Linked DNA regions of Drosophila melanogaster. Changing the gene in region 4 together with the main gene of any one other region gives a genetic interaction. Each region holds a gene or a part of one and is shown on either strand. Other genes may lie near its edges.

The links.
Region 1: of Antp (region 4) and osa, changing one suppresses a phenotype caused by changing the other (phenotypic suppression), as found in Drosophila melanogaster (2 studies listed by BioGRID).
Region 2: of Antp (region 4) and hth, changing one suppresses a phenotype caused by changing the other (phenotypic suppression), as found in Drosophila melanogaster (one study listed by BioGRID).
Region 3: of Antp (region 4) and Gug, changing one suppresses a phenotype caused by changing the other (phenotypic suppression), as found in Drosophila melanogaster (one study listed by BioGRID).

The regions. Positions count from the first base shown.
Region 1 is NT_033777.3:17,712,445-17,720,052, forward strand, and holds the start of osa (osa), read right to left. Parts: upstream 5,907-7,608; 5' UTR 5,512-5,906; intron 4,491-5,511; 5' UTR 4,323-4,490; coding exon 3,408-4,322; intron 1-3,407. Other genes in the region: Pxt (Peroxinectin-like), read left to right, coding at 7,127-7,292, 7,587-7,608. UniProt on the Drosophila melanogaster protein: Trithorax group (trxG) protein required for embryonic segmentation, development of the notum and wing margin, and photoreceptor differentiation. Required for the activation of genes such as Antp, Ubx and Eve.
Region 2 is NT_033777.3:10,610,360-10,618,183, forward strand, and holds the start of hth (homothorax), read right to left. Parts: upstream 3,918-7,824; 5' UTR 2,641-3,917; coding exon 2,626-2,640; intron 1-2,625. UniProt on the Drosophila melanogaster protein: All isoforms are required for patterning of the embryonic cuticle. Acts with exd to delimit the eye field and prevent inappropriate eye development.
Region 3 is NT_037436.4:8,446,049-8,453,815, reverse strand, and holds the start of Gug (grunge), read right to left. Parts: upstream 3,895-7,767; 5' UTR 3,359-3,894; intron 3,169-3,358; exon of another isoform or gene 3,129-3,168; intron 2,042-3,128; 5' UTR 1,688-2,041; intron 1-1,687. Other genes in the region: CG6983 (uncharacterized protein), read left to right, coding at 4,631-4,667.
Region 4 is NT_033777.3:6,994,740-7,002,358, forward strand, and holds the start of Antp (antennapedia), read right to left. Parts: upstream 4,490-7,619; 5' UTR 3,467-4,489; intron 1-3,466. UniProt on the Drosophila melanogaster protein: Sequence-specific transcription factor which is part of a developmental regulatory system that regulates segmental identity in the mesothorax. Provides cells with specific positional identities on the anterior-posterior axis.

The DNA.
Region 1 (7,608 bases), about 11 Mb from region 4:
ATACAAGCAGGCCAACCCATACATGCGAAGAAACGGCATAAACAAGCCGGCACACAGACATCAACTCTCTCGAAATAAAAAAAACACAAAGCGCCGGAGGAGGTGGAGGTAGAGTCGGAAGAGGGCCAAACAGGAACAACAAAGACACAAACGAAAAGAGCGGTTAATGCAATGCCTTTTGCCTTTCCCCAAAAAATAACAAACATGAAGGGGAAGTACCACCAAAAAAAAAAGAGGCGGAAAAGAGGCCTTTAAGCTCTTTAATATATGCCCAAAAGTGTTGTTGCCCGCCTTGCACCTGTTGACCTCAAAGGAGAATCAAACGGAACGTCAAGGATGTATGGGGAGCATAACGGGATGCATCTAGCACACTTGCACTCGAAGAAAGAGAGGGGTAGAGTGAGTGAGCCAAGGCATGTCATCATAGTCGAGCCCTCCTCCCCCCCCTTCCACTTCTACACCTCCACCTCCTCTCTTTTGACTGTGCGCGGTTTCACTTGATTTTCATTTTTATTTTGTTTTGGTTTCTGCTTCCTCCACAGCTTGCCGGCTAACCCCACCTCCACCACCGTCCCTTCTTCTTCTGCTTCTCCTACCCCAAAACAGAGAGAGGGAGGGAGAATCAGCTGTGACAACAACAAGTTTCTCTGTTATTGCCTTTGATTACGGTGCCTACTTGGCCATTGTTGTTGTTGCTACTGCTGCTGCTGCCGTTTCGGTTGTACCGATGTATGTTTGATACGTAAGTATGTATGCGAGTATATGTATTTATTGCATGCACGCGTAAGTCACACTCTGCCGGCAATTTGATTTCTTTGTTTATGCACACAAGCCCGCCGAGCGAGGCAAACAATCAAACAAACACATGACATTGGATAGCAGCGCTTCTAGACTCTTTTTCAGCCTTTTTTTTTTATTTCGCACTAGCTACCTACACATAGAGACACACCAACACTGAGCCATAAACAAAAGCTCTCGAAGGTCGCATCACATCGCATCGCATCGCACCGCATCGCACACGTCTAACCCTAGCGGATCGCTTTGATTTGTGTGCTCACACATAGATTTGTTTATATTTCTCTGTCTAATCGTCGACATAAAAGTTCGTTGACTCCCATTCCGAGACATCGCATCTACATCCGCACCACACCACACCAAACCAAACCATTCATGAAGTACAAAAACAATCGATCCTACTGCAGTGACATCAAATATGCCAGAAGCAGGCAGACCGATGACTACATAGACACGGAATCGGGCCACAAATATGAGTTTGTTGGGCTGCGGCGGGTTAGCCCCCTAACTACCACACTACCCCACTAATAAAACAATTAACCGGTTTCCGTTTAATTCAAAACGTGAAAAAATCATATCACGTGCTTCTCCATTGGGGCCAACAAACCAAGCAAACCAAACCAAACACCAACTTCAAGCGCATTATCGCTTGACACAACTGATAGGCAAATTCTTGATATCAGGGATTACAAAGAGTAAAACACAAAACGAACTGTGAAAAAAATCTACAGGTACTACAAGTTCATAACCAACCAAAAACATTATATTTCTGTTTATCCATTAAAACGTATAAGGTGTGGGTTGTGGGTCGGTGTGTCCATTAGTTAAATTGTATAGGATTGTATGTTTTCACACGAGCGACTTTTTACGGTATCTTTATGTTCCGTATAACACTTTTTTACATTCGCTTTTAATACTATGGAGTTATATCGACTGATAAAAATGGCTTGACTCATTACTATATTACTGTTTGATATATGTTTTTTGTTGTCTATAATTATAGTCATGTCAAGAAAACAGTAAGAAATAACTACTTCATTAACTGTGTAACAAACCCCTTTCCATCTTTTGCAAGTTTTGAGTAGTAGTATCCACTTCTTTCTTTTAACGTTTAACACTAACAATGCAATGATAAGCTTTAAAATTATTCCAATCAGACACGAGGCCAACAGGCCGTCGATAATGTTGACATGAAGGGGACAGGAAACCCTAAAAACCCTAAAGAATGTGAATGAATACCTCAACATTTTTGTGTACGAAACTCTTTCTTGTTATTCCGCTGCTTCTTCTTCTTTGTCTTCTTATTTTACCGTTGCGGTGCGGCCTTTTGTTGTTATTGTTTTGCGGCGGCAAGTGCCGGTTCTCTGCTGTCCGTCTCCCTCACTCTCACCCGGCTTCGCCCAGTAACAACAACTAAAGCACAACAACACCCGGCACTTAAACAGCGAATTTTCAAGGGGATGGGGGTATCTACAGGAGGAGGAGGAGCAGGGAACTAAGTGGGAGGGGCGGGCGAAAAAGGCGCGGAATCTGAGTACAATGTTTTTACGTTATGTGTGTCAGTGTGTCTGCCGCTTCTGCCCCTTTTTTATATTCTTTCCTTCGAGTGGGACTTGGCAAATCCTCAGTGAACTGAATGAAGTGCGACCAAGACGAAACCCTAAAAAGTAACAGTAAATATTGCAGCCTCCCTCCCACGCACACACACATACACACACACTCCCAAACGAATACATGTGCACAAAACGTGACGAGCCCCTCTCCATGGAATGAGTGGGCAGTGGGTGTGTGGAGTGCGGTGGGGTAGGAGATTGGGGGAGGGAGATAGCTAGCACAAAGCCACCAGCGACAACCGCACCAACAACAGCATGAAACACATGCCGTGGAGGCCTGCACATGGAAATACTCCAGTAAGTAAGTGTGTGTGGGTTTGGGGTCGATGGAATCAAAATCAGTGTCAATGTCAAGACAGCTCTAAAATAAAAAAAAAATACATAAGGAAACCCCTGGCGATAAGATTCTTGGTATTCAGTCTTTAAGAGGTTGCCTTTAGGCACAATGACACCATTTCTGGTGCAACAACTAGATCATTTAATATTCTTTTCGGAAAATGGTTATTTTGTTACAGAATACACAACATTTATTGTGTCCTTTTCATTAAGTTTCTATCCTGGAAGGCGTTTAAGCTACCATCCAGTTTTTCGTTACTTTAAAGCCGAAGGTTGCCCCCGCAATATTGAGAATAAATATGAAATAAGATACTATAACTTGAAAAGACAACCGCATTTTCTATTTTCGGAAGCTGTGAATTAAAACGAATCATAAAAACACTGCTTTTGGTAAATACTTCAAGGCATTCCTAAACAACGTATTACACCGGAACAAAGTATTTACAACTATTTCAAGTTCGGAGACTATTTAAGCCGAATACTCTTGACTTTTAGATGTATCTTCCACAATATCTTGTATCTACAGAACTTTCAAACATTTTTATGGACTTGCAATGATTTCTCGTGAACGCAACTAAATATACCTTTCAATTTACAACTTTTCTATCCCAAAAAAGCATGTTATCCTTGTTATCCCCAAATATCCCCTTTTTGATCACTTACCGGTGGTGGTGTCCTGTACTGCTGTGACGGTCCCAGTTGCGGACTGTAGGGCCTTGGTGGCGGTGCCCAGCCGCCCTGTTGCCCTCCGTACGGCGATGGCTGGTGCTGCGGTGGCGGCGGTCCATGTCCTGGTGGAGGGGGTCCACCGGCCTGCTGTTGCTGAGCCGCCGCTGCCGCTGCCGCCGAAGCGGCCGCCTGCTGGGGATCGTAGGTGTTGGCGTAGCGATGCTGCGGCGGAGGCGGCGGATTCGAGGACTGAAGCAGAGAGTTTAACGTTGGCGTGGGTCCCTGCGGAGGCTGACCGGGTATGTAGCGCTGCTGGGGCGGACGATTAGGTGAGCCACCGGGCCCCGGTTGCTGCGGGGGTTGCTGTTGAGGATGTGGCTGTTGTTGTTGTGGAGGCTTTCCACCTGGCAGCGGCTGGCCATAGCGATATGGATCCATGTTGGGATCGGCGTGGTAGCGACCATACGCCGGATGTGGATGAGGCGGCGGCAAGTGAGTGTACTCCTCCTTGACACCGGGCGCATGCTCAGGTGCTCCTCCGGGCGGTGGTGGTGCAGGTCCGCCGTGGTGCTGCTGTTGCTGCATATGGGGTGGTGGCGGATGCTGCTGTTGCTGCTGGTGCAGATGATGATAGTGCATGACTGCAGCTGGGTCCGGTCCTGGTGGTCCTCCAGGACCAGATCCTGGGGGCGGTGGTGCGCCGTATGGATGTGGGGCAACATTTTGTTGTTGCTGCTGGATGCTGGGATCGCTACCGTTGTTGCTGTTGTTGTTGGGTGTGGGCGGGCCCGAGGTTGGCGGTGTAGCGGCACCAGGAGCCGCTCCAGCCGATGGGGGCGTGGCAGCAGGGGCGGGAGCGCCACCTTGCTGCTGCTGCTGTGTTTGCGGCGACTTTATTTTCTCATTCATGGCTGCTCATCGGCTTCTGGCTGCGCTGCTCCCGATCTCCCAGATTTTCCGGATCGGATTTTCCCAGATGTGTGGCGGCTACTGATGGAACACCGGTAACCACCAACAACAACAACGCTGACGCTGATGATGACGACGACTGCAGCGGCGAGTTTGAGGTTATGTTAGCTGCAAGTTATCAAAAACGGGGGATTAGCATTTGGCAAAGGGGGTCTGGCTTATTAAAGGGGGCAGTCCTATATCACTGGGCCTAAATCGAGCGGGTTAAACATAAATAATTTGTACTCGTTCGTGGGCTGTTGTGTATTGAAAAGTCCGCTACTAACACACGCACACACATGCTCACTCGAACAGGCAGCACCAATACCACAACAATTTATTTTCCGCCGCGTACGGTGGGCAAATCGTAGTGCGTTGACAACCCTGCCGCAACCGCTCTCGCAGTTTGAGCGCATCCACTCTCGTTGGCGCTCTCGCTCTCTCTTTTCACATTTGGCGGCTATACACGCACACGCCGTATCCCTTTCCGTCTCACTTGCACTTGCTCGCCATCCAGGCTGAAGGCATATGGCGCTCTCGCTCGCTCGCTCACTCTCTCCCTTGCTCGCTTTATTAGTTTCTGTGTGAAACGAATGAAACGGGCAGCACAGTAATGATTTTTTCGTAATTATTTTCTATGCCGATTTTTCGCGTTTACACAGCACTGGAATGGAATGGACGAGGGGGCATCATCTCACAATTGTTTAACTTATTTTCTTTTCGTGAGTGGGAGAGAGAGGGGGGCTAACGCTTAAGATTTATAAATAATTGCCGCGCCTGCTTGGCCGCGTTTGTTGCGCGTTCACTTTTGGCCGCTGCCGTTGTCTTGAGAGGCTCTCTTTTTTTGTTCGGCTGCTTGCGTTTTCCTGCGGTTTTTCGCCAAGTGTTTATGAAGATGATGATGATGCAAGGATTCGACATCCAATCATTTGCATATGTATACACACACGCACTCACTCGCACACACACTCACACAGCCTCCAAAGTGCATCGTCGAGAGGAGAGAAACTGAATTTTTCACTCGCCCTCGGGCGAAAGTCCGGCGGCAGATTTGTTGTTGGGCCAAGAAGACTCAATATATATTTTGCGGGGCGCTTTGGTTTTTGGGGCTTTTCTTAACCAGAAATCTACATACACGCACACCACTTACACATAGAAGAATATTCACGCATTGACGACCGTCCACAGACTGGCTATATATACTAAAAACGAACTCGCGTGAGAAGACAGGGACAGGGCAGCAAACTCGGTATACGAACGGAACGAAATGAAACGATTCAAGTAGTAGTGTATGCAAGTCTTGTCTGTCTGCGCCTGGCGTTCTTTTCTCTTCTTTTTTTCGATGGTTTTTCGCCAGGCTGGGCGCTGCCAAAACGCTGATACGGCGGCCACAATCACACGCGGCTAATCGCCAGTTGGGCCCTGCACAGGCTGCACATACTTTTCACTATTAATGCGCTGTATTTCACTTATTTTTCGAACAAATTCGCAGCATGACGAAGAAGCGAGCCTGTACAAGATTAGAGCGGGTAGCACGCACGATAGTATCGATACGTACGAGTATTTGGCACTGCGATACATTATCGGTGCTCGTTTCGATAGCCCCCGATAGCTCTAGCACGAAATTTTATCGCTTTATCCATATTTTATACTATTTTTATTTATTGGACTTCAATGAATATTTATTTTACGTTCTGGTTCGCTTTTTAAATATATATGGTAATCAATAGCTGGCGAATTAGCGATATTTGAGTGTGACGCAAAAATGAGTTGGCATCGATATCGATTTCTCGCTACTCTGGGACGCCATCTTTATTGCGGTATTTTAAACGGAAACTTAACTCAAATTAAACGGCGTGCTAAAATTTTCCATTTTTTTCGAATAAAAGCACGTAAAAGTTTGTGAAGATGTAAAAGTTATAAAAACTAGAAAGCCTTATTCGTGGCCAGCGCTTTCGTTTTAGAAATACGTCAATTTAAAGTTTTTAAGGTAAATTGCAAAATTGCAATAATTGCAATAATATAATAATAATAAAATTTTGGTAAGTTATAAGAGAGTAAATACAATTTTGAAAGTTTATACCCCCGTTAACAAACCACTTGAATTTAGAGTGGCAGAACTATGCAACTACAGCGAGTTTAAACATCGATATATTCGTGATTTTTGGTTTGCTTATTATCGATTCCATACAAAACTACCGGCATAAGCAATTTTAAAATAGACGTAAACAACATCAACGTAATTAATCCACAAAAACAAATTCTTTTATTAATTTTAATTGATGCAATACATTTTAATTTTTGTGAAACTCTAAATATCAATAGTCGCCCTATGCATTGATCATTGTCACAAACATTGTTAAAATTTATTAAATTTATTTTGGTAGAACACTAGGTTTTCGATTTACTGGCTTCCGGATTTTTACTCATAGGTTTTAAAAATATTTTTTGCCAAGGATATCAACTAAAAAAATATTTGTTTATTTTTTTATAATATTAATGAAATTCTATATTGAACATTTTTATTTTTTGAACTGCTTGCACAATTTGCTAATAAGAGAAGTTGCGCTTAACAGTAAAATGTTACTGACATTAACAGCACACGTACGAGAATTACAGTACACTGCTTTCGACTTGCTGTGATATCGAGCATTCCTGGTATCGAGTGCAAAATGGCGGCATTTTAAGTTCAATTTAACACGATTAGGTTGAGCTTGTCGATTCTTTTTTAAGTATAAGCCAACAAATGTTTCATTAAACGCATAATGAGTCGCATTTTATTTATTTTGTTGCTACTTATTGTGACGCAACTGAGCGAGTTGCAGGCGGCAGCATTTTCTGTGCGCCAAAATCGTTTTGATGAAGTTCCTGATTTGCAGACTCCTGCACCTCTGGCCACTTCCACTGAATCTTCTAAGAAACCCGAAAAAGGTTGGTTACATATGTACGTTTAGTGATATAAATTGAATATCTCGGCAATTTCAAAATGGCGTAAAGGGTGAAAGTGTTCTTGTCCGCTCTCTGTGAATATAAGTTACGGTTAATCGCTCTACACTGAAAACAACTGCATAAAAAACTTTCATATTTACATAATTAACAAAATCAAATTTTTGTAAAATTAAATACAATATAATATAAAAGTATAATTGTTTCTTCAATTTTAAAATTATATTTTTATGGTTATTTTTATTTCGTAAATTGTACAAATTTGGTCTTTCTGTGTAGCTACCAGTGGTCTGCTGAAAAA
Region 2 (7,824 bases), 3.6 Mb from region 4:
TTGCAGAAATATGCATATGTAATTTGTTTATAAATATTCCTCTCAGCCTGACGCTTCCTATTCGCTCAATTTTCGCTGGCATGTGAAGCGTCTGCCGAGCGGATTCTCAACCGAAAGCCAAGATATATCTGAAATCTCCTGATAAACGGGGGGTCGTGGCAAAGGGGGTAAGTGGGGAGCCCATGAGTCATGCGGTGAGGCTGGGAAGACTGGAGAATTGCTCACTTAATTAGAAAAGAATTCGCGACGAAGGTTGGTCGCTGGCAAAGATTAAACTATTGCAATATGATAAGGACTAGGCGGGAAAAAATATTACTATACTTTGCTGACGAATGTTATTTTGTAACATAGGGAATTTCAAATTCAATTTATTGTTATTAATGGAATGAGTTCAGCAGTTGGTATATTTGAAAGTACACATTTCAGCGGACCATTGTTATATACTGATAATATATACATATATAACTAGAATTTTTTTCCTGGCTCAACAAAAAAAATGTTTTAGTTTGCCACCTAAGTCGAATTCCGAATGTTTCCATCAACTTTTGCAAATGCTGCTGGCCACTAAAGTAAACCACAGAATCGACTGTGGCATTTTCCGCTGCTCCGCTCTCCTTGATCTTTTCTATTTTGATTTTGATTTTATTTCTAAAGCGAACGAGAAATACAAAAAATAGCTGAACAAACACAGTGGGAGAGGCGAGCACACGATAGACGAATTATATTTTATGCCACAAATTACGCTGCGGTTAACCTTTAAATTAAAATAACACCAAAACAATTTTTGTGCTGCATTTCGCAGGCGTTTGAAATGGCACACGAACTGAAAAATGGTGGGAAAAGTGAGGGGGCGCGGGGGAGAATGGCAGCAGCTGCAATGCACATTTTTATACAAATTGCAATTGCACATTTTTTTTTTTTGCACATTTTACACGGCCGCTCTTTCTCACTGTTTCTCTCGTTTGCTCTCCGTTTCGATGGCATAAAATAATCAAATTAAATATATATAAAAATGCATGTGCAGTTTGGTTTGAGAAGAACCCGCGAAAATTGCTTCCCGCCATTTTTCGCAAATTATAGCAGCGCAAAGTCATGGAAAATGGTAAAAATAAAATTGTAAATAATAAAACCACGAAGCGGCATAAACTGAATGGATCGCTTTTGGGCCGCTGGCAATGTGCAAAATGTGCAATAAAATTATATGCATCAAATGCACACAAACAGACAGAACACCCGTATATATTCACATACTCGTACATACATACATATATCTCTCGCCCCGAGTCGAAAAATTCATTTGATGGAATTGAAATGGCGCGATTCGGGTAAAGAGCCGCAGGAGAATTACGAAAAAGGGGATTCAAAGAGGTAAATTCGGCACAGAATCGGGTATTAAACCACAGGCGTAAATTTATTCGCCAGTAACGCAGACACACACAAAATTCCCGCGGGCATTTCTTTTTTCCCATCTCCATTTCCATTTCCATATCCATTTTTATTTTTTATATTTCTTTCTGATTTTTTTAATGCTCCCAAAGAGCATGGCCCACCTTTTGGTAACACACACACACACACACACGCTAATTGGTAGCACACACACAGGCAAACGGCCATGTTTGAGGTCTTTTTGCTCCGTTAAATAAAAATCAAGTTCACTTCGCATGTCCATGATAATCAATTGATAAAGTCTAACTGCGATTTGGTAATAATATTTTTTTGAAGAGCGGGCGAGCGGAGACTGCCGGTCACCTGATTAGCATATAATTTACGATCCAGATGGATTGTAAAAATTATTACTCCGTTTAAAAAGCGAGGCGAGAATTTATGCCTTATAAACGTGATGGAAAATGGTGGAATCATTGTGGCTATGCAACGGGGGGGCTTTTCGGAGGTGAAGGTCCCAGCCATGTTTAAACAAAAATCGAATCAACTATTGCGGTGTGAAAATGAAAAGTTAAGGGGAAAAGCTAACAATTTTCAATAAACATTATTTAATGATTTTCTAGAGTAAACCGTTGTTTAATGTAATACAATATCTATCACTATTTCGGCGATCTTTGATTTCCATCACTTCCCAAATAAAATGGTCTAGCTGCAGACTCAGTTAATTATATAAACTTGTACCAGAAAATGACCCGCATAAATCAAATGTGATTTCTGTCCTATTCCAATACACATAAGCACACACACACACACACACTCAGAAACGCTTAGTTAAAATTCATTTTGATAGGGCTCTAATAAACAAGAACTATTCCCCATTGAATTGATTGTAATGGGTTAAATTGGAGAAGCTTGGAGGCCATGTATAAGAAATATTTATATAGATCTACTTCATGAAGTTGGATTAACTAATATCTGAAGATTTTTAAAACTTTTTGCGTATTCTGGTTATAGATTGATTTGGTTACACTGGTAACATATCCATGATATGAAAACTGTTACAATATCATCATAAACTACAACCTGTAAGTGCCGTCGGCACCACTTGACTTGATTACAAATTGACTGAACCCCATTTGTTTTTTAGCCGTCGGAACTTGTTTAAGGATAACAACACTCTCGGGGGACCATTCTATATGGATTCTATATATTTAGAAAGTGAACTTTGGTGGATCTACTTACCCTGGGCTGAGCCATTAATGCTCTGGGAGCGACGTCTAACCCGATTTGTGCCACTTTTTACAGTAGGAACAACAAATGGGGGCGCAACACACTGACCGACGTCCCGCTCCGCCGCTGCAACTGCTTCGGTTTTAGGGAAGCTCTACTGTAGCTGCCCGTGTGGAGTCCTTAGATTTACTCTTGGCTTTTCCAGTTCTTCAGTTTTGGATGTTATTTTCTTGGATTTTTATATATGTTTTGCACTTTTTTCATGTATTGGGAAGCCTTTGCTTTTTGAACGCTTTGCTTCTTGATTTTGCTTTCTTTTTTTTTAACACAGGCACATTTGTTTAGATTTTATGTATTATTATTACGTTTGTATACTTGTTGTATTGTTGATGTTGTCGTTTTTGTTACGCGCGCGTTTGTTGTTTGTTTTCTAGAGCGGGAGATCTGGTTTTGAATGTTTTTTTTACTTGTGTGTTTGTTATAATAATTATTTACATAGCATTTGTTTGGTTTATAAAAATCGTATACAATTTGTTGTTGGTTGCCGTTGCAGTTGTTGTTGTTGATGTTCTTGGTATACTCGTGTATTGTAGTAGTTGCTGCAACATCATTTGTTACTGGGTTGCATTTGTTGTTGTCATAAATCCATGGCGTTTTTTCCCTTTTCCTCTCTCTCTCGTTTTGCGAGTTTCCTTGCCTTTTCCTTGGTTATTTTTATAGTAGTAGTTGTGGTTGCTTTTAATTTTTATTTGTTTGTCGTATACTCTTTTTGCTTTTTTCGTATAATATGCGCACTATTTATCACAGCTGCTTCTACATACTACGTTACTAGAGATGAACAAATTATATTGTTAATATATAATGCAATATATTCTGTTGTGTTTTTGCGACGGCAATTTGCGTGTTTCTTTGTTTTTGCGGGGGGATCGGCGGGATCCCCTCGTTGAAAGAAATTCCCTCCGCGGCCCTCAAATAACAGTATTTATTTTGGCCTTCAATTGTGAAAAGGAGAACTTTTCGATTGTGATTGAAAAACACACTAAAAAACGTGATTGTTTTGTTCGCGCGATGGAAAAACGCGCGCGATTTCCAAAGTGTTTCTTGTGTTGTTTATTTGTTGATTGATGGCAAAACGCGTGGTTAACGGGCAATAATAATAATCATAATAATAATAAACTTCACCGACGGCAACACTTTTTCGCTTTTCTTCTCTTTTTTATTCGAACGCAACGCAACACAGACACACGTCGTACGCGCTTCGCAGTCAAAAATACACTGTGCGGATGAAAGATATTTCATCGAAAAACCAACCCGCCAGATACGTTTGAATTTACGCTACAGTCGGACGTGTTTCCACTCCTAACATCGCTGTTAACTAACAGCGAAGAGAGCGCTGAGCGACAAACAACAGCAAAGTCAACGGGTGCAAGCGGTGCGGCATGATTGTCAATCATGCAGCTGCCCCGCTCTGTTCAGATGCAACAATTGTGCCATTAACTCGCTCTTGGCCATAACTCAGCGAGTGCAAGCGAGAGGAATATATGGTTTATGCGAACGCTCCGGCGAATTGCCTGCGCAGGCGCGCTCGCATCCTGGGCGACGATGACTGATTTGTTGGTACGCCTCTTCTGTCATACACACACTTGTCATTCACATGCATATACAGTACCGTACAGCGGTGTTCTATCTCTTTCTCTTTCTCAGTTTTCGCCTCTTTTTGCGCAATGTTCGCCGCGTTTGAAATTTATTTGGCTTTGGCCAAAAGGAGACGGCTTATGGGTTTTTCGCCCCTCTGCCGGCGTCGGCGTCGAAAATCAGCAAAAACCAATCCCATTTGTTATTTTCGCTTGAGTGAGTGGCAGTTGGCAGCTTGGCTCTTTTTCGCCGCACCTTTACAGGTTGAAAGGCAGCGAGAAAGCTTCAGTTGTCCATCAGCTTCAGCTTTCGCTCACTTTTCGCTCTCTTTTGGCGCCCCCACACACACTCGCACACACACACTTTTGCCCGAATAGGCAACGCCTTCGAAGAAAAGCGGCAAAAAAGAGAAGAAACTTGAAGGAGAAGAAGAAGAAACGTGGACGACAAAAACAAACTTTTCGCTGCAGTTCCTTTATTGCGTCCTTTTGGCTTGTAACGGTGATCTGGCCACTTTGGAAGGATATGCGATCCTGACAACAACAAACAGCTGTTCGAGTTTCTCCTCTCTCTCTCTTTCTTACTTCTTGGGGAACAACAACAAATGGAACGGCGATAAATTGTCAAAAACATTCGCTGAAAATTGCATATTTTGCAGGTCATTCTGCGCTCCTGTTTGGCGAATCTACTCTCATTTGGTTTTTTATATACCCTGTACAAATGGTGTTACATCTCAAACCAAAAATAAAAAATTGAGGAAACGGGCTTTTGCATTATTTGAACAAGTTTTTTGATGACAAGTATGTTTGGGCAATTTTCAGTCAATTGTGATATCTTCGGCGTGATTGTACAAATTTTTTTTTACATTTTAAACTAAAATAAATTAGTCCAATTTGTTTTACCAATAACTACAGGGTAACAAGGTATGCCAATCTTCGTATTCAGTCCGAAATCCTGTCTATTGTTGCTGTTATTGTTACTGTCGTGTCGTCGTCCTCGTGGCAGTTTAAAAAGCAGTTAACACATATTCCCAGGCCATTTTTCACCAGCGTATTTTTGGCTTGGCGCTGCAGTTGCCATTACGCCGAAAGAGACGGGGATACTGGCGAGCGAGAGAGACGGGGCGATTTGGCCGGCGTTTTTAGGAAAATGAAAAATAGCCTTGTTTGTTTTCCGACGCTCGCCAAAAGGATTTCCCGTGTCTGTTTTCGCTGGTCAAAAAGATGATGTTGCACTTAATCTGGTTGCCATTTCATCCCGAAATCCCAAACCCCCAAAATCTTGGGAACTATGTATGATATAGGTGCTCTGTTTCTGCGTCTTGTCAACACTTTGACAAATTTATGAGACTTTGATTGATTTGCGGTTGCTTTTTCCCTTTTTTCGTTTCGGGACTCGCTTTCTTTTGGCTTTTTCAGACGTCCAACTTTTGTGCGTCTGCTCGGGCCAAAAGCCAAGTAATTTATGTGAAACAAAAATCACATAAAATCGAATCAATTAAGTGCAATAAATTAGTGAAACGCTTAAGTGTGGGAACTTTTCAGACTTATCGGTGACCAAGTTAAATTCGAATAGATCGATCGACGCGGTAGCAAAGTTCAAGGATCCCAACGAAATGTTAGACAAATGAAGTTTATTTGTTTAAGAAAACTCGAGGTTTTCTGAGAAGCGCTAATTGAGGAATAGAATATACTTAGTTCGTAGAATAATACTGAGTGAAAAAATGTTTTCAGATGAAATTTAATAAGAACAGATAACTTAAATTTCGAAGAATGCAAATAAAGCGGACAGCTCCAGAAAAGCTCAAGAATTTTTGCAAATGAAGCAGGAATTTAATTTAATATTTAGAACTTTGCCAAATTGAAGGGACCATGAAATTTAAATCACCGAAAAAGGAAAATAATCAAGAAGCGAGAAGAGCGAACGGTGGGGGGGGGGGTGTACAAAAGGAGGGGCAGGAAGCGAATTTAGGGGGCTGGGCCTCCACCCAGTGAGCGAAAAAAAAATGAAAGAAGAAAGCCGAAAAGGAACCGACTCGGGAAAACCTCAAGGAAAATTGCATTTGGAAACTTCCAATCCCAGACGAGCGAAAGAGAGGGCAGAGAGGGAAAGCTTACCCATACACGTGCACTCACACCAATTGGGGGGCCAGCCAATATGATTTAAACACTCACGCACGCACACACACAGGCACACACTTGCGAACACCTACAGTGATGTTAACGCCGGCAGTGCAGTCGGCGTCGCCGTCGACGCCGGCAGAGAAGTGTGTGTTGTGTGCATGACAATTCATCTCTTTCTTATAAACGCAATTTATCAAACGCAAACGACGAGCGACAGCAAAAGATGAAGACGACGACACGATATCAACTTGATGTGGCGCCATCTCGCTTGCTCCCGCTCACTCACTCAAGCAAGAACCGAAACAGAAAGCCAAAAACAAAAAAATGGCACATGAAGAAAAATAGGAGTTGCCGTCGGCGCTCTTCTTCTTCTTCGCCGTCGCTGCGAAATACGAAAAAAAAACATCGAACACACAGAAACAGCAACAAAGTGACTGAAACCGCCATAATCTTGACAGACAAGTGCACGCGCTCTTTTCGCCGCGCTTTTAATGGTTTGTTTTTGTCTGAATTCGCCGAACAGCGCGGGAGAGAGCGCCGAGCGAGATGGCATGCGTTGCAGTTGCGTTGGAGCGAGAGGCCCTAAGTGTTTTATGGCAACGCGTTTTACAGCTGTTTCACAGTTGTGCAGCCATTGCAAGACTAGGCATGTAACATGATTTGAGAGTCATTGGAGTTTAAGGATCTTCAGTATTTAGAGTTGTATGTTCACTGTTTTTATTTATAAGGTATATAGTCGTTCAAATCGTGATTTATTCATATAATTTGTAGGATGTAATCGTTTTAATATTGTTTGACTGTTCCTTTAGTCTGTATACTTATGTTATTGCATATATTTATTTATTCAGGTTTTATTGTTATATTTTTAGTTTTTTGCACCGATATTTTTTAATTTAATACATAAAAAACTGATTTCTGTTAAGAAGCGCGCGAATTTTGATTCCGATTACCGCCTACAATTCATTTATCCTAAGCCAAAAATTATACAATTCATATAAAATCAGAGGTCCTGTCAAAAGGAGCTGTATTTTTAACACGGAATTTACCAGTTTACCTGCATAGTTACCTGTTTTGGCAGTTACTTGATCTTCCATGAATCTTCCTTTTGCCTACTAATTTTTTTGTGACTTTCAACGCTTGAGAAGGCCCATAAAAGGCTTAGGACACTTGTTCATAAATCTACCTGATCTATTGCGACTCACACCCTCTACACAGAAAGAAACAAGAATATTCCTAAAATTTTTATTACTGTAAGTTATTTGAATTTAGAAATATGCACAACAAAGATTAAAATCCGAGGCATTTAAAATGTGTTTGATTGATCTATAAAACGTATATCCTGTTTTGTTCTGTGCAGCAAAGGTCCTGCGAGCTTTATTTAATTTTTCTCCAGTCATTATTCAGCCTACTTTAACTGACCCGAAGAAAAATCGATGGCAAATTTGCTGGTTAA
Region 3 (7,767 bases), on a different chromosome or scaffold from region 4:
ACGAGCTTATCTCACGTACACACCACTAGGTCCAAGGTTTAGCTTTGTTCGTGGGGATGGCTTAGATCAGGCCGCTTGGCTGCCCAGTCAGCAATGCTAATTAAATCGGTTATGTAATTGGACAGAGCACAGAGCGAGAACTCCGAGGCTGAATGAGGAAAACCTTCCGTTTACTTCTAATCGACATCAATAAATCGACACACTCGAGTCAAGTGTGCGCGGATAGACGGACGGACTTTTCAATCAGATAAGCAGCACTTATAAATTAAAAGCGCAACAAAACAGATTAATAAAGTTAAACTTTAACGGCACATTATAAATAAGCCAAATGACTAATAATAAAATATGAAAGCGCGCACAAAACCCCGACATCAAAGGCGACCAGCAACTGTGTAACATACCAGAGATACAAAAAAAAAGAAATAAAAGCCAAACACAAAATATAAAACCGTACCAAAACCAGAGGAGCCGGAAAACCGCGAGGGAACTCATCCATTTCCCAACAGCACTTTTGTTTTTTTTTTTTTTTTTTGGTATTTGTGTTTCTGAAATATTCGTGTTATTTGTGCGCCTTAAGTTTCCGTTGGCGGCACTCGTCTTGCCTTTTTATTAAATGCATTATTAGCACGTTATTTATTAATTAAACACTCCAGCCTTTTAATGCGTCTCTAATCAGATGGCCTCGCCGCCGCACTCTTCGTGGATTTTGGGTTGGTGGGTGCAGATAAGCGGGCGTGCCGGGCAAATGGAAATGTGGAAATGGGCAGGGTGTGGGTTTCGAAGATAAGCAAGGCGGCAAGCGGTGCAAATTGTCTGGGAATTTCCTTGAAATCAATCTCCGTTTTCCAAGAACTAACTGCCTCGAATTTCACTTGGCTAAAAGCAAGTTAAACCATGGCACTTCATTGGAAGAGATAAAGAGATCCGTAAATCCCCCATGAACAATGCGTAAAATTGCGTATCATATGACCTGGTAATCCCTCATTAGCTCTGATTTAATCCTGCACCATATTGCTTGTATAACAAGTGACCTACAATAGCTACAATACAAATTAATCTATTTAACTAGATGTGGCCATAAAACGATGACACTATAAATACAAAATGGCAGCTAATCAATATTATCTTTATTTAAATTGATAAACATATAGAGGACAACCAAAACTAGTTTTGATAGATTCATATAGTTATTAACAAGTGGAATATTTTCCAACAATGCGCTAAAGAGTTTCTAAACTGTCTGATCCCGGTCAACCCTTTTTTTTTTCATTCCGAACAAGGGTGTACTAATTGGCCTACAAGGCAACTCATTAGCAGTATACAAGTGCGGCGATAAAGATCTGTTTCAGTGGGTTTAGGGTATGTGTAAGCCTTATCATCGATCTAATCGCAATTCCCCCTAAATACCACCAGCCCACAAAATGAACACCACAAATCCGAATATGAGCGACAATAGCAAAGCAACGGATTAGGGGCACGCGCCCCCCGGTTTTCTAATTGCTTTGGGATACCATTGGAAAATAGTTTCCTCCATTAGCCGAGTGGAAACCCTTCGGCACAATGAACAAGCAACCCCATCGAGGGGATGTGACACATGAGACGGGGGCCAGCGTGAAGTATCGAATTAAGCAAACAAATAATTATAATTAAATGTGTGCGCCGGGCTCGAACAGATGTCTTGGCTCACCATGAATCCGTAGTCGGGGTTGTGTATCGTCGAGGCGTCCCGCACGAAGATGCTCCTCTCTCCAGCAGCAGGCGGCAAAGTAACTCCGGTCTACGGTCTCCGTCTCCAGATTCCAGACTCCAAGTTGCTGAGGATGATGATGATGATGACGACGATGGTGATGTGGTGCTGTGTCGATGGATTTTCAAAGGGGGTGGGCGGCGGTCGTGGTGGTTCTTGTTGCTTTGCTCCTGTTGTTCTTGATATTGTTGTTCCTGCTGTTGTTATTGGTGTTGTTGTTTTTGTAGTTGTTGCTCAGCGAGGAGGCAGCGAGTAGCCGGAAATGTATATTTCGGTTAATTTGCACAAACACAGCTGGAAGGCGAAGAGATGACGTAGGTGAGAGCCGAGACGATGGAGATGATTAAGCGAAAGAAAAAGAAAATGAAAGAACCAAACAGAAGAATTGAGCAGCTGGGGCGCAAGGAGCGCCCTGCGAAAAAACAATGCCCCACTAGCGATACTACTACCAAAAGCAGTCGCCAAATGAGGCCATAGAACTTGGCAATTTTATACGTTAGCTATTTGCATAGCATAGTTGAAATCCTATGTACCTGGTTTTGAGTTGAGAACTTTTAATTACATAATAATGTGACCCATATTCTTTGATCCTTTCCTTATTAAATTTTATAAACAATGTAAACCAGGCAGACCTATGTTCAAAACATCTGTAATAATAATAATCAATCTATCTATCTATTTGGACTGTATAATATTGAATAACAATAGCTATCAGAAAATCTTTAGTACCAAGATGACATATCTAAGTAAGTCGTAGTAGTCCATATCAATAGTACTATTAGTACGGGGAATAACGCCAGTTATAGCGATATTTTTTATAATCTATTGCCAATAAATACAATTCCAAACACTTCTCTAGCATTAATAGTGGGTAAGTACATATTTTAGCTTATTTATCAGCCAGCAAAAAGGCAACAAGACACATTTTTCCGACAACGTCAGCAACAGCAATTGACTGAGTGGAAGAAGAAGAAGAAGAAGCACGGCCAGCAGGAGCGGTCACAGGAACAGGGAAGGGCGGTGTGGGGGGGGGGGGGCTTTACAGGAATGGGGTTAGTCCGAGGCAGGAGCATCCTTGGGGGGTGGTGGGTGCGCTGGCCGCAAGAGCGTCGCGTTGCGTCGCGTCGGTGGTGACGCCGACGATAACAACAACAACAACAACAATAACAAAGGGGCAACAACGGTGGTGGGTTGCTGCTGTTGTTGCTTGGCCTGTTTTTGTTGTTTTAGTTGCTGCCCGTGCTGCTGACGCTTGGATTTTTGCTTTGTTGTTGCTGCTGCTGCGCTTGCGATTCCTTTTCAGCAAATTTGTTGAGCCTTCGTTCGTGTTTGCATTGTTCTACCCCAAAAAGTTCATAATAGACTGGATTCAAACACCCACCCATCCGTCGGTCACCCTTTCAAAAACTGCGGGGGGGGGGGGGGGGATACGCCACTGTTTTCTCTGTTTTACTGTTTTTCGTTATTTTTTTGTTTTTTGTTTTTTGCTGCCCGAAAGACTTCACATAAATTTGAATGATTTGCACGCTGCGCAACTGCGATTCCAAATTAAATTAGTGACACACTTAGTAATAATTAATTTTCGCACACTTGTTGTAGATTTTTCCTTACGTTTCGCTGCTTGCTTGTTGTTGCTTTTTTTTTTATTGCTGCCGCTGCTGCCAAGTGTTGTTGGATTTTGTTGTTGTTGCTGTTGCTGCTTTCTGGTGTTTTTGTTGTTGGGCGCGCGTGAAACTCGTCGTACGCTTTTTTTTAATGCTCTTCTTCGTTTCTCTTCTTCTTTTTTTGCATACACTTTGCGCACACACACACTGACAGAGAGGCACACTCGCACACACAGGCACAGACAGAGAGCAGCGCACACAGACGTACACTCGAACACACACACACACAGGCACGCACTTTGGTTGCTTGCTTGCGTTTTTTTTATTGCCTGCCTTCGCTTTCAGTTATTTTCACTGGGTTCTTGTGCGATTTTCGGTTGCTTTTTCGCGGAATTTTCAGCCACACGGCGCAGCCAGCGTGGTTGCGAATGTTTTCGCCAGCAAATTACAATAATTGGCTGGCCAAGATGCGTGCTTTTTGTTAAAAATCGCCACTACGAATTTCTCCGCGAAGAAGCCACCATTTTGTAAAAATATATACTTTGCGGGGTCTGGCAAGGCTGGCGGTGGCAGAGTGGCAGCATTGCTGGTGGTCATGTGCTAAATAAGCCAGCAATTGTTGTGTAGCCAACAGCTTTCGTTGGTGAGCACTCGTAAGTTTGTCTTTTGAAATGGTAATTTATTTGTTTAAACAAGACTTAAAAACTTCTAAAGCATATGTTAAAAAAATAAATGATATATATTTAAACATTAATATATGGCTAACAGCTGTGTTTCAGATTTTCTATGAAATTTAATACGATGAAAGTTGGAGTTTAATTGGTTAACAGTCGATCTATATTAACAGTTTGTCGCAGCATATTGTGGGCTTACTTTAAAAATAAATTGCTTAATTTTCGTCCTAATAGGCGAAAAATTCGATTCCACAAACTTATATTTAATTTTTAAAAATCCAACTGATTGTAAAATATCCCTATTGTAAATTAACATTTCTGTTAGAACAGTGAACAAAAGCGCCATTTCGGCAGAAGCGACTATCGACTCTGCGCCTAACATCGATAGCCACAAGAAATCTACCGACGCACCACCACTATTGTTTATTTTGTTTTTCGTCGTTTTTGGATTCTGATTTAAATCACCTCGCTGCGAAAATCGGGAAATTCTAAAGAAGCGCGTCGTCTGTTTAAATTCTGAGGGTTCGCAAAATCGCTGGCATTTAACACTACCACCAAAAAAAAACCAAAACAAATCAAGAGCTGCGAATCTACGGATCCTCAAAATGTGCGACGAGTCCATTGAAAATGTGGAGCATCAAGGTAAAAATTAGTAACTCCGATTCCCGATGTTATTTGCCCAACTCATTTGTTTGGCCATTAAGTAGCGCCCAATATTTGCATAGAAACCAGCTCAAGTGCGTTAAAATATCATTAGGAAAAGGCGGCGGTGGGGGGTGTAGATTCTTTGGTTGATGGTAAAAAAAGGGTAAGTGGGGGTAATTGCGCGTGGATTTTGGCGATTAATTCGGTTTAATTGGAACAGAAAGAATGAAAAGAGTGAGCTAAATTTAGGCAAGTCAGGCCACTCGAGGGAATCGCTTGTTGTTTGCTGACCTTTTCTGCAAATCAGGACAGCTGCACTTCTTAGCGCAGAAACCAACATGCAGCTGGGAATGCACTGAAAAAAAGTGGGGGAAATAAGTCTGATTATATATGTGATACATTAAAAGTGTAACTTTGAGTGAGTAAGCGTAAGAGTAAGTGTATGTGTGCACGAGTGTTTTGGCCATTTCCTTCCCGTTCACTTCACACATTCGATTTCCGCCAATTGTTGTTCTTTGACCTCTTCTTCCTGCTTTTCTGTCGCAATATTAAAAATAATATTTGTTCATGGCCATAGCTAAGCCAATTTCGACCACCTACCGCCCACTTTTGTTGGCCACCGCAATCGATGGTTTTCCATTTTCCATTTTTACCATTTCGCCGACTTTGTCGCCATTCGCGTGACTTCAATGGGTTTCGCTTATCGCTTTTCAAACGGCGCTCGACCCGAGTTTTTATCAGCCTGTTGCAGCCTGCTTAAATTGTCTTAGATTAATTTTAATTTATGATCTCCTGACAGAAGTTAATGAATTGTGGCCAGCAAGCAGCGTATGGAAAACGAAAATAGTTTTCATTTCGCGCTTCACACACTTTCTTCATCAATTAGCGGCTATCAGAATTTTTTTTTTTTTTGTTTTTGAGCGGCAGTTTCAAGTGGCAGTTATATTCGATCCATTTTGGTGAATAATAAAATTATTGCGAAAGCAAACACGAAATGCTTAAACGTGATTAACAGATCTTTAGAATTATTATACTATTGTTTTTTTATTATTATTATTTTTTGCTTACCTAATGTGCATGTTTGTTTGTATAGTACTTAATAAATTTGTTTCTCCTTACGCTTATCGCCTAGAAATGCAAATTGTGAGTTAAAGCTTTTTATTGTTTGCCCAGCGTTTTCATGGGCAATGCTAATTGTAAGTTTATTTGGCGCCCGCCCCAAGAATTAGATATCCAACACCCCAGAGATAAAAAACAACAACAACGAATGGGGCTGATTAAATTGCATTTACCGCCAGCGGAGGTTTCCATTGTGGTAGTCACTATTTTTTTTATTGTTATGTATTCTATAAAGTGATATGCAATTGTGCAATCCTCATGTGGCGGGCTATTTATAGACTCGTTGGGAAACCTGCGGGCACGTTGTTTTTGTTGCATGAGGTAGCAATGCTGGGGATGCTATTGCCACGCCTCCGCTCCCGGGTGGCCATCCAACGCCCACAAGGCGTTCGTTATTGATATTTGTCTTGTTGGTGTTTCAATTGTTTTGATTCGAGAGGGATTCTGAAATACATAACTTACAATACTGTTATGCATGTTTGCAGTTCGTTCTCGTTTTTGCATTTGCATTTTGCATATGGCATTTTATATATTCTATAGTCGATTTGGCACGTACGGCGATTGGTGGCCTTTTTATGGCATCCCCCCAACTGGGGGTAGCAACTGCATTAGTATTAGTTAGGGGGCAGACACACAAGCACACCGTCCAGCAATAAAAGTATATGAACATTTGAATTTGGCGGCTCGAAATTATATAATTCATCGTGTGAGGGTGTTGAAAGCTGGACAAATTGGGCGGACATGACTAAGAACACACTTAATATGGAACTTTTATGGTTTCCTGTTTCTAAAATTGTTGAAAAGATGGTGAATAAAGCTGGTTATAAATAGAAAAAACATATAATTAGCACCAGACCTTCTAAAAACCTTACTAAACTCGAATGAATTTTTAAATGCCATCTCATTATAGATCGATATATTCAAAACTCGCTAGAAACATTAGAGTATGCATGGTTTATGGCGTATGAAAAGTTGGTTTCTTGGCTTGTCTAGACCCATTTTCCATGCTTTAATTTCGAGTAAACGAACCAATTGAGCTATATAGAGAAAGCCAACGAGAATTCAATTGGTGGACAATCTGTCAGATATGCATCAGATAATTTATCTCTATACAAAAACTCTGTGTGCCGTAAAGAAATCCCGAAAAAAAAACGTGCCATTGCTCAAATTTGAATTTGAATTTGAATAGCAATGGCAGTTGATTGTGAATTTCCATTAATGGTTAATCAATGGTGATTGGAGGGCACGTGAGACTGCTTTTTTCAGTCAGCCAGATTTTTAAGTGAGCCGCATGATCGCCAAGTGAGAATTATAGGAAGACCGAATGACATTGGCATTGTGAAAATGCTGCCTTCATTGTTGTGGCGGCTTTAAGCAGATTAAGCTGGATTACAATAAATTGCTTACATACTGCGAAGCGGCCAAGGAGCAACCGGAAAATTGCTTCAATTTCGCATTCGTCTGCGTTTATGACAAAAATGAAATAAATAAATTACACATAAAAATCATGTCCATTTCCTGCACATTAAAGTGCAAAATTGAATTATTACGTTCCGCTGAGCGGGCGATCGGGCAAATAAACAAAAGAATTCGGTCGAGAAGAAAACGAAAATATAATATCAACCATTTGCGCAGACATTCCACATTCCAATCGTTGCGACACCAGAACAAAATGAAATATCTATTTGAAGTCGCAAAACAAACGTACAACACGTTTCAAATCGATAAGTTAGTTCAAAATTGAATAAACAAATGTAGAAATGCAACCAAATGCAATTTAAAATAGGCTAATAAAGGCGAAAGCTTCTCACAATTATGTAATTATTTGTATCAGAAAGAACAGATACGTTTATGAAACGCACTGTCTGAATTTCCAAATTTTTGTAGGAATGAACAAACTTTTTAGCCGCAATTTCCGATGCCAGTGCCATGACCAACTAGTCAAGGGTTTTATTTTTAGCATAGTCTCGACTTTTTT
Region 4 (7,619 bases):
TGGAGATGCGTTTGCCGAGATATGCGCACCAAATTGCCACTGCGAAGGACGCATATTAATTTTTATGACCGTACAAAATGACGATTGCATAACCCGGAGCCAGAGCCAGAGCCAGAGCCAGAGCCAGAGCCCGGGCTCGAGCCTGAGCCAGGTGACTTCGACTTCCTAATGGCCGTATGATTTCTGCTGGAAAATCCTTGATTTTACAACCTCGTGACAAGTGACAAAAAAAAGGAAAACTGTCATAAAAATCAGCAGGTTATCACTCTCGGTTTCTGAGATGTGACTCCTAGTTGTTGTTGTTGCGTTTTCAAGGACACTTTTGGCATTAAAAAATAAGATTCTTTTGCGAATTTCTGGTGTTGCGGTGTTGTGAGTTTAGGTAGTTTGCTTTTCGGGAATTTCCCATAGTTTCGTGAGTTTTCATTCCGCTTCCTGCCGCTTTCGGAGAGCGTTTTGCGTTTTTGGTGTGCGATTGGTGTTTTTTAGTTTTCGAGTTTTGAGTTTTTGCGTTCCTTGTCGCGTATCTCTTGGCCATAAATCATTGTCACCCGCTTCGGCGCAATGTCACTGCGAGCGCTTCCCGCTGGGTTTCTGGCCCCCGACCCTGCACCCTCCGCGGTTCCCTGCACCTCACCCCGATTTTCGTCCCTGTTTTCCTACCACGAACCTATAAAAACAAGTATATATAAAACAGTTCGAGCCGCTGACTGCATTTGGGCTAAAAAATAAAATAGTAAGACTTTCTCCCATTTGTTCCCTTTTTTCCGTGGCCAAAACTAATTGCAGTCACTGCAAATTGCCGCCCAACAAAATTGGATTGAGTTTTAGTTGGCTTTGACCGCCGATTTTGTCCGATTTTCAGCAGTTACATCTATTTCTCTTTTTCAAGAATAACTTTTTTTCACAGTTGTAATGGAAGCCAGTGTATTTAAATTCCGAAAATATAAATATATTTTAAATAATTTATTTAATTTAAAACAGTTGACTGCTTCTCTTTTTTATAATGTTATTATTTGTATTTTATGGAAGTATGGAAGTAAATTGGATGTGTAAATTGTATATGTAAATGTGTCGCAAGAAACTTTTGTAATCTATATCAATAATGGATTGTTAAATAAAAGTAAAATTTAAGTAATAACGTAAGCACAGTCTTGATAAATACTTTTCAGAGAAAGCAATTAATGCCAAGTTTGTAGTCCCATTGGTAAAACGATAAACAAATTACACAAGGTTCATCATTTCCGGCGGCTTATCAAAGTTCAGTTCCCGAGGGCCTTAAAATGTTGTGGACCCGATGAAGTCGATAATATTTTTGGTGATTTGAAAATGAAAAAAAAAACGCTGTTTTTGCCGTTTCTGGTCCTTTGTTTGTCTAGAGACTTTATTGTGTGAAATTTAGGTTTTTATTTGAGCGGTTTTTGTTTTATTTAAATTTACTGAGCTTGCATATGATTAATTAACCGACTCATGTCGCCATCTATCAATGGGGGCTTAAATATAATTTTAATTTCAAAGGCAAGTCAAACAAGTTTTCTTTGTGGTGGTCGGCTGTTTTCGTTGAAGCTTTTTGTTGGATTCGTTTTATTAACAACAATTTCGTTTACTTTTGTTGCTAAGTTTTGGGCTTTCGGCCGAATCTCAGAGGTCGTGATTAATGTTTTTACAAAAGAGTTGTCGCCATTGGTGTGCTGATGTATAAATCTTTTTGCTGCTTTGCCATGAGTGTGAACTTGATTAAGAATCCGTTTAAAAGGAAGTGGTTGCTCATGTATAAGGGTCTAAATATGTTAGTAAAGAATTGTAGGACTTAAACAAAAATAGTCTAGGGAAATGTGCGTTTTCATACAAATTTTGAATATTTTCCCCCCATTTCTCCCAATTGCATCGGTGTTTTTTCTGTCTGTCACTCGGCCATAAATCATAAAAGTTTTTGCCGGGCAAACAGAACGGAGTTTATGATTTTGTCAGCTGTGTAACATTTCCAGCTGATAAAATCAATAAATTATGAGAAAATAATTTCATTTGATGCCATCTATTTGATTTTGCAAAAATCGAAGCTGGCAAAAATGCAAATGGAAATGTGTTAACGATAAGCAGGCTGAAAGTAAAAGCCAGGATAAGTTCATTAAAGCCCTTTTGGACAGATCGCTAGAGATACTTTCCAAATTATGGAACAGATTTTTAAATGTTTATTAAATTACGAATAAATTCCGCACCTCTGTGGGGCGCAAGTGCAATGAGAGAGCGGGAATGGAGAAAGAGAGAAAGGTAAAAGGTAGCGAGCGACAGACAGAGAGGACGACAAATATGCAAAGGCCAGACAACTAGGACAACAACAAAATCAGCAACAACAAGGACAATGCACTGCAACAATGGCCGCATAAATTTTCTATGCGGAGAACCCGAGAGTGTCCTGTTCGTCCAACTATGTGCGTGTGTGTGTGTGTGTGTATGAATGTGTTTGCGTGTGTGTCTGAGAGAGAAATGGCTGCCCTTTCCCACCATTCGGAAGTGAAACTATGTTGCCCAGGATATGCGCAATAATTCAAAAACGAATTCCAAGTTCAAAGAGCCCATTACTCGTGGCCAGTTAAGTTCGGAGCTCCGTTTTCAGTTTTCCAGCTTCAACTCCCGGGATTCCTGAAAGCATCCCACCACCCCTCCTCCCACTTTGCAAATTTATGCAAATGGCTAATAAGCCTGTCAACAGTTTGCAGTTTGCAGGCCAAATGAGTGATGACCTGGCTGTAGCTTCCGAAAAACGCCCTTTGAGTTATGAAGTGTTGAATCTGAGTTCGGGCAAAAAACTTATACCTTGCCCACTGCACATCGAGAAACAGATGCGCTATTCTTTGTACAGAGTCATTAATGTCAAAACTTCCACATATTTAGACAAGTATTTGGAAATGTATAAAGTTTCCGTCGGCATATACATAGACTGATATTCTAATCCATGTAAGCTTCATTGAAATGATTGATTTTATTCAAACATTTAATGGACAGCTAATAGTAACATAATATACTTATGTCAACCATTTTTTCAAAAATAATGTTAAGAGAACCTCACAATCATTTTTGTTTAAAAATTATATATAATTTTTAGTGACAATCGAATAATTCTTTGACGGTATGCATAGATGACATTACATTACATGTACAATTACCTTTGCAATTATTTAACAATATTGATTTTTTACTACAATTTAAAGTTAAGATTTTTTCTTCACTTTCAGTTACGATTATTATTAAATTGAATATTTGAAATAGTTTGGATAGGCAGAAATAACATAAAATTTGTAGTAAAATATAATTATAATCAATTTAAGCATTGTTTTCAAAACGCATTAACCATTTTTGTGAATAAAGACATTTTAATCCCAATTGGCCAATAAAAGAAACATATAACCATTTTGATTTCAGTGAAGAAGGTGAGGAAATTGAAAAGTCGAGCCCTGGCACTTACCTCTTAAATCCAATAACGTGCGCTTATCCTTCAATCCTGCTGGCTTTTGGAATTCTCAGCTAACGGTAGCTTGCACGTGCGCCAAAATAAAAAGTTTGCCCGCAGTGGAATCGAAACTTTTTCCGCTCCTTATTCTTTTCCGTTTTATGTATTTTGTTTTTTATTATTTATTTTTTTTTTGTGTTATTTTGGCTGTCTACGTTTTATTTCTGTTGAATTTGTTGTGGTTTGAGTTGAAAGCTTCAGCTTTTGTTTGTTGCTAGTGTGTAGATATTGCTCGATTTACGGGGGACTAGAAAACGTTGTTGTACAGATTCGAGTTTTCGGTGCACGATGCGTTTTTAAGAATAGATAAACACTTAGGTAGTAGGATTTGGCTTGATAAATTTGAACTCTAGCTCATTTGCAGCACAGTCAGCCCAGATCCATTAGTAGTATTGCACAATATGTGGATGAATTTTAATTTGAATCCAGACACCTGCCAGACACTCGAACATCATAAAAAGAAACGCGCGCGAAGTTCAATTCCAATTTCTCTGACGGTGTTTTTGTTTGCTGTTTATGCGATGGCGCCTGCGATTACAATTACGATTACGGTTACGATTACGGTTATTATTATAATAATGGGTTTATGACGATCTGCGCCATGCGATGGACAGTGTGCGACTGATTGCGGTTCTAATTTTTTACGATTATTGTTATGATTATTTTTACGGCCTTTATGATCTTAGCGGGCTGACAATTGGGATAAGAGAGCGGTCGCGACGACGGAGAGCGAGCGAATACGAATGCGAATAGTTCAGTTCAGTTTAGTTCAGTTCAGTTCAGCTCCGAGAGCCCAGCCCCAAGATATTGGCCGCTATAGCGACTACGGAATACGGGGCACCGAATACCGTTATGCTGCTGGGATCCCTCTCGCACACACACACATACAGTCGCACGTGGGCTAAGTCAACGGAACACGGACGGGTCCTCGAGTGCTTTGTTGTGTGATGTTGATTTCTTTACGACTCCTATCAAACTAAACCCATAAAGCATTCAATTCAAAGCATATACATGTGAAAATCCCAGCGAGAACTCCTTATTAATCCAGCGCAGTCGGCGGCGGCGGCGCGCAGTCAGCGGTGGCAGCGCAGTATATAAATAAAGTCTTATAAGAAACTCGTGAGCGAAAGAGAGCGTTTTATTTATGTGCGTCAGCGTCGGCCGCAACAGCGCCGTCAGCACTGGCAGCGACTGCGACCGCGACAGAGGTCCGATTCTGCTTCTGCTCCGGTCATAAAGTATTTTGCAAAAGAACCGTTCTGCTCTCGTTGCCATTTTGAGTGACTGAGAGAGCTGAGCGAGTGGGAGCAGCGAATTGGCGCCTGACTTGAGTTGACCGGCTTGAGTTGCCGGCCCGAGCTCGCTGAGCTGCAAACTGTAGTCAGTCTTCAAAAGAAGATCTTATGATGCACATCCAGTTATTTTCGATTATTCAGTTCCCAGATTTATTTTGGTTGGTATATTTGATTTCACTTTTTTATTAGGTTTTTAAGAAATTTGTTTCATTCATTTTGGTTTATTAAATACAATTTTTTGCAAGGTTCAATTTTAAGTTTCTTTCTCTTAAGTGCTCTTTTCAGTTTCTCTAAAATCGAAACTATTTAAAATTCGATTGTCTGGGCATTATCGAGTAGTTTCTACTTTTATTTCGAAGAGCGATTACTATATCTTTATAACTTAATATCTTTATACCTTTTTAACCATTCTTCTGGACTATATGGTCAATCAATTCATTTGCTTTTAATTTCTTAAAATAGCGTAACGATGTGAAAGATGTGTACATCTTCAGTTTACTTGTTTTTAAATTTTTGCGGTCAAATCTACCATTTTGTGGGAGACCACCTTCTATAAAATCAATTAAAATAATTGTACAATTTACAAATACGGTTCTCTAAAGGCCTTGTGTTGACTTTTTAGTTTTTAAAGTATCAATCCGTCGATTACTTCAGACTGAATCATTAATTTACAAACTCATTTATTTATTTATTTTACCAGTGAAAATAATCTAAAATAGGGTTTTGCAATGGAAAGGTCGAAAGTTTCTGTTTGCCTATTATGTAAAATAATTGTAAATTGTTATGCTGCTTAAGTACTTATAAGAGTAAAAAACGTTTTTGATTTCGATTGTCTCGATTTTTTATCTTTTTTAGATGTTCTTAATTAACGCTTATAGATATGGTATATAAACGTATAAACGTATCTTTTAATAATTATTTTTGTAAATATACCACAACCATACATAATTAACAGTTTTGTATAGCAAATGTGATTTGCCCGATGAAGTCATATCTAGACGTTTTGATATCTCATTATCGGCTAACATTCGATAATCGGGAGAATGATGGCCGCCGTGAATTATGGAACCCGGAATACGGTACTTGGAACCGGGGAGTATGGCATCCAAACATCCACTTGCCGACGGCAAAACCATCATGGCCGAGTTTATATCGAAGCGCGCCAACAACAAATCACATGCACGCACACATGCAGGCCATCACTCACACGCACACAATCACAATTCAGCATCGCTCTCACTCTCTCTCTTTCTCCTACGCTCTCGCTCTCCCACAGCTGTTGTGGAGCGGAAAAAGAACAACAACACAAGTTGGCCGAATTTTTGCAGCCGCTGCTTCTGCTTGCGGCGCTGCCAGCGTCGTAAACAGGGAGGAGTCCGCCACAGACGCACACTCATAAAGCATTCTCAGAGACCGCACACACACAAGCGCGGCACACAAACGCACAAGATGGATGGCGGCGCAGGCAGAGAGCGAGAGTGCGAGCGAGAGGGGCAGACGCGGGTGCGAGCGAGACGGCCAGATGCGGCCGCGTTAAGTGTGACGAATGTGCCATTATTTTGCTTTATGTGTGTCGTGAGCGCGCCGCACTGCTCTTTTTTCAATTGCCATTTCTCACATAAATTTACGCAGTCGTCGGCTGCTCTGCTGACGGCGCTGCCAGTGAGCTCCAGTTGAGAATTTTTGCCTTTCTGAGTGCGGAGAATTCTCTTGGTGGAACAGTGGTGCTGAAAATTCCAGTTGGAACTGCAAGTTCGCCAGCGGCAAAAATTCTACCGGATGTTAATGCAATTTTTGAAATGTCGTACTTGCTTGGAGTCTCCATTATGGGTGTTTTATGGCGTTCTTTGGTATATTCAAATATATTTTTACTGAAACAAAAAATTTAAAATGTAGTCATCACCTAATTGAATTTTAATGGGGTTCCAATTATATGAGTTTATCAAAGCAAATTAAGCTGTTTTCATAACGCTATTTAATAATAATCACATCAGAAAAGCATTCAGACTTAAACTTGTTAAAGAAGGCTTCATGAAAATCTCATATTGCATAATTATTTAATAATGTGAAATTAACATAATGTATTTTTGTATAATAGTTACCATTACTCGTAGAGTAAAAGGGTAGACTAGATTCGTTGAAACGTATGAACCAGGTATAGGGAAGCGTTTCCGACCATAACAAATTGACGATCACTTTCTGAGCCGAGCTGACCATGTCCCTCTGTCTATTCAACTGTCCATATCTGTCCGTATGAACATCGTGATTTCGGTAACTAAAAAATCTATAAAGTTAAGATTTAGTATGCGGATTCATGAACATTTAAGAAATAATTTTTATTAATTTTCTCACAAACCTCCAAAAACATTAAAATATTTGACAATAAAACCTGTCTATATACACTTTTAAATTATGTATTCAATATTTATACGTATTTACATAAATAAAATTACTTTGTGAACGTACCTTTGATATATCAAAGTTAAGCCGAACCCCAAAAAATTTTACACTCAATTATGTAGCGGCAATAAATATCATGAAAACGGATGAATCGGTTTTAAAAGCATACTTGGCGCCCCACTCCGGACACCACCCATTCCAATTGGGATGGGCAACAGTCCCGCTTTAGCTCCTGCCCTCCCCACAGAAAGAAAGGTCCCATGGATGCTGTCCGTACGCATCGCTGCTCTTTGACAACTGTGCGACTCTAAATCATTCAATTCGGGTCCAGGATCAGGCCCAAAACCAGACCCGGTCTCAGCTGGAATCGAGTGCCTCCTTGCATTTGGGTCCTTTTTCCGTCCCCGTGGGTC